Drosophila melanogaster: one gene and its partner. The protein of the gene in region 2 interacts with the protein of the main gene of each other region in a pairwise test. Each region holds a gene or a part of one and is shown on either strand. Other genes may lie near its edges.

Region 1 (7,409 bases), on a different chromosome or scaffold from region 2:
ACAAAATCCGAATTACGCGTAATTCTTAACTCTACACGCATTGCCAACACATTTTGGAGACCCACTCCAGTCCGCACTAGTGCACACCGCATTTTTCTGTACGCTTCCGTTATTCCTGCAGAAATCTACTTGCACCCGCTCCTACCCGCGACCAGAAACTCTAACGGTTCTCTGCCGCGCATCAAAAGAATAGAAAAGGCAATTACTAGAAATGTCGTTACATTTAAATGATCTGCGACATATACAAGTTGTCCACGTACATGTTGATATACAAATTCAAAACTCCAATCTCAGCAGCAGATAAATAACCAAACTTAAAGTAAACACCAGTCAGAAAATTTCAATTTCACAATGCTGTGAAATAATTTCAGTATAAAGCTTTTATCCTAAACATATTTGAAGTTCCAGAAAATTCTAAAAAATTTCTAGGTTGAGTGGATTAGGATTTAGATTTAGAAAATCAGTCTAAGTCCGGACGAGATTGTGAACATTTTCAAATTAAGGATAAGATAAGATAAATAAATTTTAAATTTTAATTTACATGTATCTACATATGTTGGCTGTTGTCTATCCCAGTTTCGAAAACAATGCATGTAAAAAGCGTGTAGTCACAGAAAAATTATATCTCCACGAAAACTGTGGATTAAATTGTAATCAAACTTTTTACACAAATAATGAAATTACAACATTTTTAAGATACCGTGCAATTTGAAGTTTATTTAATTTTTTGGAATTCACCTCCAAATAACGATTAAGAAATAAATACAAAACGTCTGCCGTGCTGATGGCTCAGGCTTTCCTCAGGCTGGAGTACCCCCCATGCCACAGCTCTAAACACTAAAGTCGATAACCACCGACGTCTCACAACACTGAAAATGTAAGCAATGTTAAAGCGAACACAAAGACAAAAAATTTAAATGTTTTGAAATGCTTAGAACATCACACCTTTTGGTAAATCGGAGTCCGAATTCTTTAAATAATTCTCGGTATATATATTAATTATTTTTTACATCATTTACATCTCAATCCATTTCTCCATCAGTATATGGTATCACACTTGGATCGACGACTGCTACATTGGATAGGTCAAAGTGAAATGTGTGGATGGCCTTTGGAAGCTACAAAGGCTGGAAATAGTGGTAGGCGATGTGCCAATTTTTGGCGCATATGGAAGGTTGCAAGTATTGATCACCGGCGGCTACGGTGGATGTGGCTCCAATTTATTCTTTGGAGTAAATTTCCGGTTTGGTGGATAAAAAAGTTCCAATCGACTGACAACCAACAGACAACTAAAAAAATTTGGCGCTCAACGATCTTAGCCATTGACAAATATGAGACTTTCTGATTTTTTGAGCTATACATTTTGTAAATTTTTGTTTCTTTAAGCTTAATGGTTTTTTCGTTTGTTTATCTTAGCCTTTATATATTTTCTTAGTAATTAAACATGTATTTATTTTGTATCTATCTCTTTGTATTTGTATTTTTTTGTATGTATCTCTGTTTGCCTTTTCGAAAGCCACATCTAGGCACTTAACAGTTTAGACCTTTAAAACTCGGTCTGTACAAAATGGATCATTCTTCTAGATCATACACTTACCTTTAAGGCATAACCCTTAACTCACTTTTGAAATCTTTTGAAAATGTATATTCTTTTGAACAAAAAGGTTGGCACTCGAGAGCAATAGCAATACGTATAAGCAATCGAAAAAAACGAAAATCATAAAAAATCCTAACATTATTACAGTTCACATATGAAATCAATTTAGGTTTGTGCACTTACAGTTTTTTAAGAAAATGGCTTTGGCCAGTTTTTAGGCAGGAAGGTAAAAAATTTGTTCAGTGGATCGGCGTTGACAATAAATTAAGATCAAAACAAAAGCAAACGTTTCGGTAGTGGAGACACGACATTCTTTTTACATCGAATTTTTTGTCGAGTTCAAATATCGATAGATTATATCGATATCGTCTTCGTCTGACAAACCATTTCACGATACCAAAAAAAAAGTGCAAAAATAACTAAATTCTCGGCGTAATTATTTAGTAAATAGCGTAGCTAAGCAGCAGGTGAGTAGGTCGCAAGCGCGCCCCTCCACGATCCATCAAGCGGTAATTGGCCTGCTGTGCAATTGCTCGAGGACAAGGCCATTTGCCTGGTGGCCCCCACGCAAAAAGTAAGCGATTATGCCAAAAAGCAAAGCAGAAGTGGTCTCTGCCAACGCATGAGGGTCGCTCGGTCGCCCATTGTTATATTTGCGAAGGCAGAATCAGTCGGCGTTCTAATTAGCGTGCACCCTGTCCCATCAGAAAACCCTTCCAAATCCATATCCAGACGGACCACGGATTAGGACTAAGACCCATTTGACATGTCGCTCAAGCCCAAAATAGTGGAGTTTGTCGATGTTTGGCCGCGCCTGCGCTGCATCGCCGAGTCGGTGATAACGCTCACCAAAGTGGAGCGCTCGGTGTGGAATACTAGCTTCAGGTACGTCTTGGCAACGGTCGGAGTATTAAACAGCCTGGAGAGAGATATTGTGATAGGTCACTAGAGACTACAAAGTTACCCAACTCAGAAGAAACACAAATAACACTAACTAACTTTTAAATTAATCCAACATAAGTAATGGTTTCAATCACATTATTTTGCATTTGAGTTGGTAAACTATGAATGTACTAGTACCTAGCGGTTCAACTATATATTTTATTCAACAGCAAAATTCACAAATATAGCTGCTAGCGAGGCGAAAATGATTTGGTAAATGTCGTAGAATCTTGATAAATGCAATCATAGTTTTAATAATAAATGCCTGTTTTCTAGCTTGAATTTAAATATTTTGACCGCTTAAAGGTTAAACTAAGTTCAAGTAAATATTAAATAGATCGATGACGTATCTTTTTAAAATTAATAATCAAAACAGTGTAACGCAGGCTGCTTTTATTCTGACCGCAACTGTTCGTATATATGTGTGAAGCGTGAGTTGCCAAAATAAAATTTCTAAAATAACGAGCACTAATACATCTGTCTTTCCAATCACATTCCTTTAACATATAGCGACGTTTACACACTGTGCGTGGCGCAGCCGGAACCGATGGCTGATCGTCTTTATGGCGAAACAAAACACTTTCTTGAGCAGCACGTCCAGGAGATGCTGGCCAAAAAGGTGCTGATCGAGGGAGAATGCTCCCATTCCAATGGTGGCCCAGACCTTCTCCAGCGTTACTACATCACCTGGATGGAATATAGCCAGGGTATCAAGTATCTGCACCAATTGTACATGTAAGAATGCATCGAAGTCTGTAATAACTCAATGATCGTTGGAATTAATTTCCTTTAGCTACCTGAATCAACAACACATCAAGAAACAAAAGATTACCGATACGGAATCGTTCTACGGTAATCTGTCAAGCGATGCTGCGGAGCAGATGGAGATTGGCGAGCTAGGTCTAGACATTTGGCGCCTGTATATGATTGAGTACTTGTCCAGCGAACTGGTCCGTCACATACTCGAGGGCATTGCCGCAGACAGAGCTAGCAATGGCACCTTGGATCACCATCGCGTGCAAATTATCAACGGAGTGATACACAGCTTCGTGGAGGTACAGGACTATAAGAAAACAGGCTCGCTTAAGCTCTACCAGGAACTCTTTGAAGGCCCCATGCTGGAGGCCAGTGGCGCCTACTACACAGACGAGGCTAACAAGTTGCTCCATCGGTGCTCAGTGTCGGAGTACATGCAGGAGGTTATCCGGATACTGGAATATGAAAGCCGGAGAGCCCAAAAGTTTTTACACGTCAGTTCCCTGCCAAAACTACGTAAAGAGTGCGAGGAGAAGTTTATTAACGATCGTTTGGGCTTCATCTACTCGGAGTGCCGCGAAATGGTTTCAGAGGAGCGGCGCCAAGACTTACGCAACATGTACGTCGTACTAAAGCCCATACCCGATAATCTCAAGTCTGAGCTCATAACCACCTTCCTCGATCACATCAAAAGTGAAGGTCTGCAGACCGTATCTGCGCTGAAGGGCGAAAACATCCATATTGCGTTCGTAGAGAATATGTTGAAGGTACATCACAAGTACCAAGAGCTGATCGCAGACGTCTTCGAAAACGATTCTCTATTCCTGAGCGCATTAGACAAGGCGTGCGCCAGCGTTATCAATCGCCGGCCAACCGAGCGGCAGCCTTGCCGTAGTGCCGAGTATGTGGCGAAATACTGTGATACGCTACTGAAAAAGTCTAAGACCTGCGAGGCAGAGATCGATCAAAAGCTTACTAACAACATAACCATATTTAAATATATCGAGGATAAGGATGTGTATCAAAAGTTTTATAGCCGACTGTTAGCCAAGCGCCTAATCCACGAGCAAAGTCAGAGCATGGATGCGGAGGAGGGAATGATCAATCGTTTGAAGGTGCGTGGTCTGCTAGTCTAAAATGTACTTCACAGTGAATAACTGCAATAATGTGAATTATTTATTTTTAATGCTGTTTTAATTTGTTATGACCCTTTTACAAAACTACATTAGCTTAAATAGATCTTCTTTTATTAATACTTACAGCAAGCCTGCGGTTATGAATTTACCAATAAACTTCATCGCATGTTTACGGATATATCGGTATCAGTAGATCTGAACAACAAGTTTAATACTCACCTTAAGGATAGCAATGTGGACTTAGGTGAGACGGAAAATGTATATTCATTAAAGATAGTTTATTTTTATGTATGTGTATTTCTATGCAGGCATCAACCTTGCCATTAAGGTACTGCAGGCGGGCGCGTGGCCCTTGGGATCTACTCAAGTTATACCATTTGCAGTACCACAGGAATTTGAAAAATCTATTAAAATGGTACGTTTTTCGTAAATGTATATATTTTATTTTAAAACGAGATAGAAGCTGCCTTTGACAAACCAAAGTTATAAAAAATTTTTTTCAGACTTTCTTTATTTAGTCAAATTTTTAAAGAGAGGCCTTTTAACAATATTCAGAAACATATATAAATATTTAAAGCAGCAATAAATACAAATAATATATAATAATAAATACAGAAAAACCTTTATGTAAAAAACTTTCCTTCAAATCGACGACTACATCGTAAGGTGTTCTCTTGAAATGTGTGACATATAGAAAGTTAAAAGTATCTTTATTTCAATAAAGGTACTTTAGCATACCAAATCAAAACGCAACTTCTTTTGGTCCAAATACATCTTAAACCGTGTGACTTTGTCGAAGGTACTTCAGAAATTTTAAATGTATACGTTAATCGTGTACTGTACCTTTGTTATGATTTTTCAGTTCGAGGATTACTATCATAAATTATTTAGTGGCCGGAAGTTGACTTGGCTACATCACATGTGTCATGGAGAATTAAAGTTGAGCCATTTGAAAAAATCTTATATCGTGACTATGCAAACATACCAGATGGCGATAATACTGCTGTTCGAGACTTGTGATAGTCTGAGTTGTCGGGAGATCCAGAACACCTTACAGCTAAACGACGAAACGTTTCAAAAGCACATGCAGCCTATTATCGAGTCAAAGCTTTTAAATGCCAGCTCAGAGAATCTCGCCGGTGAGACTCGAATAGAATTAAATTTGGATTACACAAATAAGCGTACAAAGTTTAAAATAAGTTCGGCTTTGCAAAAAGAAACGCCACAGGAGGTAAGGCATTTCGATTTCAACCTGGTTACCTGGTACCTGGTTTTCTAACGACGTTATTTATGTAGGTTGAGCACACAATTAACTCGGTAGATGAGGACCGAAAACTCTTTCTACAAGCCGCCATTGTAAGGATTATGAAAGCGCGTAAAGTCTTAAAGCACAATGCCTTAATACAAGAGGTAATATCTAAAACACCTGACTGTGAATTAAAATTACATGATGTATTTTTTCTTTAGGTTCTCTCTTTATCGAAGGTTAGCTTTACTCCCAACATAGCAATGATCAAGAAATGCGTGGAGTCATTAATTGACAAACAATATATTGAGCGAACGGCGAACTCGGGCGATGAATATAGCTACATGGCATAGACTGCGGTAGAGATTTTTTATTCTTAAACAAGAACCTTCCCGGACAACAACCTCCCATACACACAACTGACGCTAACCAAGCGGCTTATTTTGTCTAAAAAGAACTACCTACAATGTTAAAAAAAGAAATCAAAAGGTCAAGCAATTTGAGTTTTGTTATTTTTGTGGTCATAGCATATTGGTATGAAAGGTGTGTGGAAATCAAACGACGTTACTGATACTTTTAATTTAGCTTAGTTAGTTGATCCATTTTGATTTAATGCGTGTGTCCTATTCAATTGTAGATATAATATATTTCTTTATGTATTGTATATTTATCTGGTTTTATTAACACACGCACAAACCAGAATAATGTGCTGGAAAATGTATAATAAATCCCAAAAAATGTCTAAAAATATGTCATTCAAAGTATTTCGTATCCTGTGCGTTAACGCTGTACCACTGTACACTTCAAATTTACATAAATGAATGCTGTGCAAAAAGCAGTCAGCATTGCAGTTTAAGTATGCGGATAGAGATCTGTACTTTTTATTTGGTCGTCTCGGAAAAAACTGGATCTATTGTCCGGAATCCCATTCTTATAATTTTTTGATTTTCTAGTACTTTTTAATAACGAATCCGGGTAGAAATAGGCGTACCACCACCTACAAATTGGCATATCGTATATTGAGCTTTGAGTTGTCAAAGTGCCAAAGAAAGTGTAAAAGCAAACATTTTTCGAAACTTTCAAGATTGCTAAGATTCTTAGATTTTGTTTTAAAAGAGCTTTTAAGGACTTTCCCATCTTTTTGTTTTTGCTCACACATTTTATTGGACCTTGGTTTAAAATATAAAATTCCCTTAAATTCTTTTACTAATCTTAGAATGTCGATTTTATTAATTTACAATACCTTGTACGTATGTTCAGTAACCATTTAAGTTTCGCCTTTGCCAAGAAATCCAATATTTGTATATATTAAATACCCAAGGGCCGTGGATTATATTTGTTTTTAGTCATTTTTATTTCTTTTGTGCTACTTTTCTAAAAAATATATATCATAATGGTAAATTAATTAATTTTACAAATATGTATATGTAACTTAATAGTTAATTATAAAAATTATTAACTTCCTATATCAAATAACACTAGTTCATTGAACGGAATAAATAAAAAATACTTTTAAGTCGCTGATAACATTAATTTGTTTTGATAAATTCGGTAGAACATGATTGTAATTTGTTTCGCGATAAAAAAAGCGGTCCCATAAAAATCTTTTTAACGCTTCTGAATCCATGGCCATACCCTGAAAACAACTGCCTTCAACGACTTAAAAGCATTTTGGATGTAATAGCTGTAACTGTAATACAATTCGTTAATAATAATTTTATCTTGTTTTTGA
Region 2 (6,202 bases):
AATCCAAAAGATTTCAGATGTGGAGCGTCTGAACAAGTTCATAATTAATGTCTATTTGAATGTTAACCCATCCCAGGTGGAGCCCTTGCTGCGTGAAATATTCGATTTGAAAAATCACTAGACAACCGATGCGTGTCGGGCATTTAATGCCTATGTTGATGCCCAATGATGAATGGTCAACAAGCTGTAGTTGTTGTTGTTGTTGATGTCTGTTTTATCTTGTCGCTTGTAATGTTAGATTTTAATCGAATGTGATTGTTAGATTTGCATATACTGCATAGATTTTATATTTCTACATCAAAGAGAGCATATTTAGGATACCAAGTGCAAAGCAACACAATCTATATGTAATGTACACCGTTTACCTAGTTTCAAATAAACTAGACGATAATGCAATAACTAACTTGGAAGCGTGGGTTCTGTGCAAAAAGGAAAAAAGACAAAAAAAATAAACTGACTTTGAGAACCAGTGGTAATAAAATGTCTCGTATTCTTTTCTACTCGAATGAATTTCGAACCCTCCAGGACAAATTACGCAAACGAGTGATTTTGAACAACAATCCAAAATAATTTAATTCCGAAAGTCACAAAATAAAAATTCGAAGTAGGAAAAAACAAATAAGATGTTTGGAAACCAACGAGAGATGTGCTTCGTTAAAGCATCAACCCGGGGAAACACCACAGCAACCGCGCATGTGTACCCGCGACCAGTCCTCAGAAATCCACGTCGTGTACGTATCCGCAGCCAGCGTATGTGTCCGCATCTGCCGACCCCGTCTTACATAGTCATTTATGTATAATGTAGGTAATATAATAGCTCGAGCTCGCTCCGCACCACCAATGTGCGTCGTGCAAGTCCATTCCAATTGTTATCCGGTCCACTCGCCGCGCAAATCGGCTTTCAGGTTGATTCGCGGCAATCCTTGGCCCATTGCAGAAACTCATCCAACGCGCTGACGGCCAAATTGCGAGAAAGAGCCTTCACACGCAGATTACGATCGGTTGTAATGAGCACCAATTCCGTTTGAATGAAACACTTGCCATCTGCAAAAGAGTTTTAGTTAGAAATGCTATCAGGAAGGACATTTAACGGAAGCAGCTCACCTGTGCATTGTTCGGTTTTTGCCGTTTTCGAGACAGCCATTGCCGTTGCCAGAATCTTGTCGTCATTGGACAAATATTCCTCCTCAACTAGGGCAAACACCGATGCATTGACAAACGAGCCCTTTGTGGTAGCACATCTAGAAAAGAAATCAATAAGGTATTATTGATCAGCAGGAAAAGCTTTCCTGAACAACTATTACTACTGATTTAAAAGTAAAATTTCAATACATTATCAGGAAACTTTTATCTATCTCAATAGCAACCAATGAATTAGACAGAATTATAAATAGCTAATCGCTAGTAAACCCTTTATCAGATATCAGTAATAAAGGAACTATGAGCTGACGCGCGGAATATAATTAACAATAGCTTACTTCACATTGCCTTTGGCCGACTTGATGAACTCTAACGACTTTTTGGCCCGCGACGACACCTCGTCAAAGTGGTGGATGCGCTGCGTCTGCTTCGAACTGCGGTACGAGTCCAACTTAACGCCCTTGGAGAGGCCATCCAGTTCCTTAACCACTGTCAGTGGTATAATAAGTGTGTAGCGTTTAAACTCCGTGGACAGTTTTTCAAAGTCTTCAAGGCAGTCGATAAAGCAGTTGGTATCCGGTAGAAGATAGCGCGGTCGCACCTCGATGTATATTTTCGTGTCCACGAACTTGAGAATGTCCTCCAACTTGCTGGTGCATATCTGCTTAACCCTAGCCTTGGCCTCAAGCTCTTTCTTCAGCTTGCACAGCTCGGAAACATCGGAATCAGTTGAACGACACAACAATTCCTCAACGGCTTTACATTGAATCTTTGAAACGTTCGCCGCAAGACCACAACTTTCAGCATCATAGTTTTCCAATGCGTTCTTCATCGCTGCGTTTAGGTGCTCGACAGTGAAGCTTGATTCCAACGGCTGCTGGAGAGCCTCTTGATGCTGGACGTAGTATTCCTGGAACTGACCAATCCTACGAACACGTTCGAAAAACTGAAGACGTTCGGATCCTCTTTTGAGATAGTCCATGCTCAGCGTTTCACGACCCAACGGAGTGAAACCTCTAAGGGCCACATCCTCATCCAACAGTATTTCGTTTTTCTCAAGTTTGTGCTTCCCCATTAAGCATTCAATGTACTCAAAAAGGATTGTTAGCTCAGCCCAGCAATCGATGAAAGAGTGTCTGCAATATTGGAGTTAATGAAAAACTAATAAAAGGCATTCAATTTATACATACTCTTCCGATCTGACGGGTTCCCACACGTCCAAACTGATGCTCAACCAACGTACATAAACATTCACGAACTGTAGGTATGTGTTCACAGTCGCAAAGCTGAAATAAAAGATTAATTAGCAATAATAAATAAACAAGGCGAATTTTAGCTTACTCTTCTTCTGGGAGACACTGGACATTTGTAGAATCCTCTACAAAACCAGCCAGCAGCTGGTTCGTTTTCTTCATCATGAGTCCAAAGAATGAGTTGGCAAAATTGAAGCTGTGATAACGCATCTCGCGGCGTGACGCTATACAATAATAGAAAGCATTAAGTTTTACCACGATTAGCCGTTATCATTCATACTTTTGGGTTTGTTGTGCTCGACGACGAACAAGTTGAGTGCTACTATTTTCAGCAGTTTGGAGCGTGACAACAGGTTTTCGTGCCTTAAAGCGACGCCTATTTGGATTTGCAGTTTCCTTAGCAACGGGTATAACGAGTCCACACTGTAATCAATTCGAAAGTTAAGTAACCTATCGGTTTTCAACTTTCACATTAAAATCAAAGTTGAATATACTCACTCTGTGCCGGTGTAGAGTTTGCCTAATAAGTACAGATAAAGGGAAACAATGCGAGGAAGAATCTCCTCCGGCGGCATCTCCTCGTAACGATTGACCTCTGCCATAGTGGCCTTGTTGCCCTTCGCCTTGTTGCCCTTGTCATCGGTGCGATGTAGGCGTCTGATCCCATCCGGATAGATCCATACCTCCTTGCGCATCTGCTTCGACTTTTGATTCTTCGATCCAGCTGCATAGTGCATGGGAGATTGCTTCATCTCGGTCTCCTCGTACTTACGCCGAATCTCGTCGAACAAATCCAGCAGGCTTTCCTTGGCAGATTGGATAGAGTTCGAAGTCAACAAGCTGCGGACATAGTAATAAACTGCATCGAAGCGCTTGTGCTAAAGGGGAAATATAAAGATTATAACCACAATAAAGAATTCTGTGTAGCTTTTTTTCTTACGTGATAAATGGAAATGACCGCCAGCTGGTTGAAAGGTGCCCCGTTGCCAGGTACCAGTTCCTGCGCCCTCTGATAGTACCTGGCCGCCTCCATGTAATCTGTGGCCTTGACATGGTTAACCCGGTAGCGCGTCAGATCGCCCAAACAGATGAGCAGCCTCTGGGCCACCACTTTAAGTGCGCTGTCACAGCGCGACGATGCCACGCACTTGGCCATCAGCTTGTCGTAGAGCATGCGGTAAAACTTAATGGCCTGTTCAATCAAAAGGAGCGTATGTGTGTGCGCCTGGTCCGTTTGCTGGCGCTTCAAGTAATTCCGCACATTGTAGAAGAGTAGTTTCCAAAAGAAGACATCAACCTTGTGCTCGCACACGAACTTAAGTTGCTCCAAAAGAAGTTGCTTGAAAGCGTCCTGCAGCTGGTCGTGAATGTAGCAGAAGTTCTTCCAGTTCTGGGCGAGATTACATGATGTTTGTTTAGTGAGGGTGGCTTTTGTTGCCCAGCTATATATACTTACTATCAGTATGAGATTCCTCTGATTGAGGACCATGAGCTGATCGTACAGATGGACTATATTCTTGGCATGGGGCAGACCCAACAGCGGCTCAAACCAATCCGGATGCTCGGTGGTCAAGCGCGTGCGCGTCACTGGCGACTGCGTAGCGTGCTCCTTGTCCTTGCGACCCCTGCGCCGAGCACTGTTACCGCTCTTGTTCTTGCCCTGACCCTGTCCGTTCCTGTTAACATCGCCCGCCACCGAGGTGGTCACGCGCAGGATGCCTGGAATCCCGCCCTCCCACGCCATTTTCCCGCTGGTATCCAAAACGGGTTGCTTTGACTGGGCATCGGGTTTGCCTCCTCCTGTGCTAGCATTGCTCAGGATTTCGACTGTGGCGAAATTAAGAGATGTTATTGACGAACCTATTGTGATGCGTCATGCAAACACTCACCTGGCCTTGAAGCATTTGCTGTCGTAGCCACGGGCTCCGCATTCTCAGCGTTTTCCGTCTCCAACGCCTTTGTTGTTGTTGCCGCTGCTGCTGCGTGGCTGCAGCTGGCCGCGATTTTGTTCTGCAGGCGTTTCGGCAGCGTCCCAATTATCAGCGATATATCATTTTGTTCTCGTGTTCCCTTTCGACTCATATTTTAAACGATGCTTTTGCTGTTGCATTTATTCCTTTCTTGGAAGTTTGTCAAATGTGTAGAGTGTAAATTACGCCTCGAAAAATCTTTAGATCAGCAGTGTGACCGGTGGCCAAGGCGGATGAGTGTGACCAGACCGCTAACAATGCTGTTTGGACTGCTGACATACGCATTTTTTAGGCGCCAGATTTGAATGCCAAATGATTTTCAACGTTTGCTTTAGAATTGATTTCTTTTGACCGGAATGCTTGATTTTTGAAAATATATAGAGATAAACTATCTGCACTTCTATTTTAGCGACAAAATAACCAATTTGCCAGTATGAAATGGAATTCTAAAGGTACATTTAAGCATGGAGAATTCTTAATTTTCATTTTGACCTCAGAACATTACTTACCCATTTCATTCGCCACAGATCACAAAACCAAGATCCATTGTTTCTGCCTCTCATTTAGCCTTCTATTTAAATTTAATTTCAAACTAAAAAAAATAGCTCATCGAATCAGAAAAGTCGTTGCAGTTTGAGTATGAGTTCGCTTTATGTTTGCATGTTTTGTTGGGTTTAATTTTGTTACGTACATGACTTCGTTTATTATACTGTTTCAGTCTTCCACTAACGTATAATTATTGGATAGCGCTGTGAAAGTAATAATATGCGGCCCATATTGCTTTACGTGTAAGTATTATTTAGAAAATACTATTTTAAGCTGGTTGGAAAGGTAAGTTTTTGATCAATCTCTTACAAATAGCGCATTTATGTGTCGAGAGATGTTGGTAGATTAGTCAATGAGTAATTGATGGATTGGTTACTTTAATTATATTATACATACATAAGTCGTGTACACTTTAGATTCAAATAAGTTGTATAAATTGTTACAGTGCAACTACAAGGAATGGCTGAAGCAGACTCCTTGGTGTTTATAAATGTTGTATATATATCGGCAAAATCGATCATTAATTTTTTTATGAACTGTTCAATGTGAGCGTCAATAGATTTATATAAATATTGTAATAAATAATTACGTAAAAATGTTATCATACTTTAATCGTTAATCCTAGATCCCACATGTTCGTTATATATGCTCGCCATGAATCGGGATTTTATCTTGTACACGCAATGGTTAAAAAATCTAAAAATTATAATTTAACGTCTCTAAGCAATTCAACGGATTGTGGGAGTCCATTCAATATCATTTAAAAAAGAATTCTACCGCAGCAGCTCAGTAAATTTATGAATATTCATTGCTTCGCATTTTATCCTTGTCCGTGTCCTGCAATCAAATTCGATTCCAATAATTAGTTAATTGTTAAATCTTTAGATGCAAATGAACCCACCTTAAAGCGCACGCCGATTTTAATTTGTTCAGTACTAAAGTCACGATCTCGGGTTTTTAACCTGGCCTTGTTCGTATTATTGTGTTTGTATTCATTTTTTCGGTTATTGGACCCGTAGTGGGACCCAAAGTCATTTTCTCTGTCAAAGTCCGGGCCATCGCGGTCCTTGAACTGATAGTCGCTGCTTGATTTATGAATGTCGAAGCCTCGACGATACTCGCTGTAATTGTTGTGTGATCCGCCACTGCCGGCGCCACCCCTATGACCTGGATTACGGAAACCAGCTCCTCCTCCAGAATTGAAGTGCTTTTGTGACATGCCGCCGCGTCCGTCGCGATCCCTGTCCTTGTCGTCCGCCTGGCGATTGAAGCTGCGGGCGAGTGGGGCAGGCG

Evidence for each region. The genes of interacting proteins can lie anywhere in the genome.
Region 1: the proteins of Smg6 (region 2) and Cul2 interact in a two-hybrid assay, tested with the Drosophila melanogaster proteins (one large-scale study listed by BioGRID).

The regions. Positions count from the first base shown.
Region 1 is NT_033779.5:21,656,791-21,664,199, forward strand, and holds Cul2 (cullin 2), read left to right. Parts: upstream 1-1,944; 5' UTR 1,945-2,171; intron 2,172-2,304; 5' UTR 2,305-2,363; coding exon 2,364-2,482; intron 2,483-3,049; coding exon 3,050-3,274; intron 3,275-3,332; coding exon 3,333-4,410; intron 4,411-4,557; coding exon 4,558-4,675; intron 4,676-4,739; coding exon 4,740-4,846; intron 4,847-5,293; coding exon 5,294-5,662; intron 5,663-5,727; coding exon 5,728-5,841; intron 5,842-5,898; coding exon 5,899-6,030; 3' UTR 6,031-6,908; downstream 6,909-7,409.
Region 2 is NT_033777.3:25,028,878-25,035,079, forward strand, and holds Smg6 (Smg6), read right to left. Parts: upstream 4,589-6,202; 5' UTR 4,476-4,588; coding exon 4,283-4,475; intron 4,221-4,282; coding exon 3,850-4,220; intron 3,784-3,849; coding exon 3,334-3,783; intron 3,272-3,333; coding exon 2,892-3,271; intron 2,817-2,891; coding exon 2,674-2,816; intron 2,618-2,673; coding exon 2,482-2,617; intron 2,427-2,481; coding exon 2,331-2,426; intron 2,277-2,330; coding exon 1,479-2,276; intron 1,242-1,478; coding exon 1,105-1,241; intron 1,045-1,104; coding exon 902-1,044; 3' UTR 552-901; downstream 1-551. Other genes in the region: Hr96 (hormone receptor-like in 96), read left to right, coding at 1-121; Ythdf (YTH N6-methyladenosine RNA binding protein), read right to left, coding at 5,705-5,746, 5,811-6,202.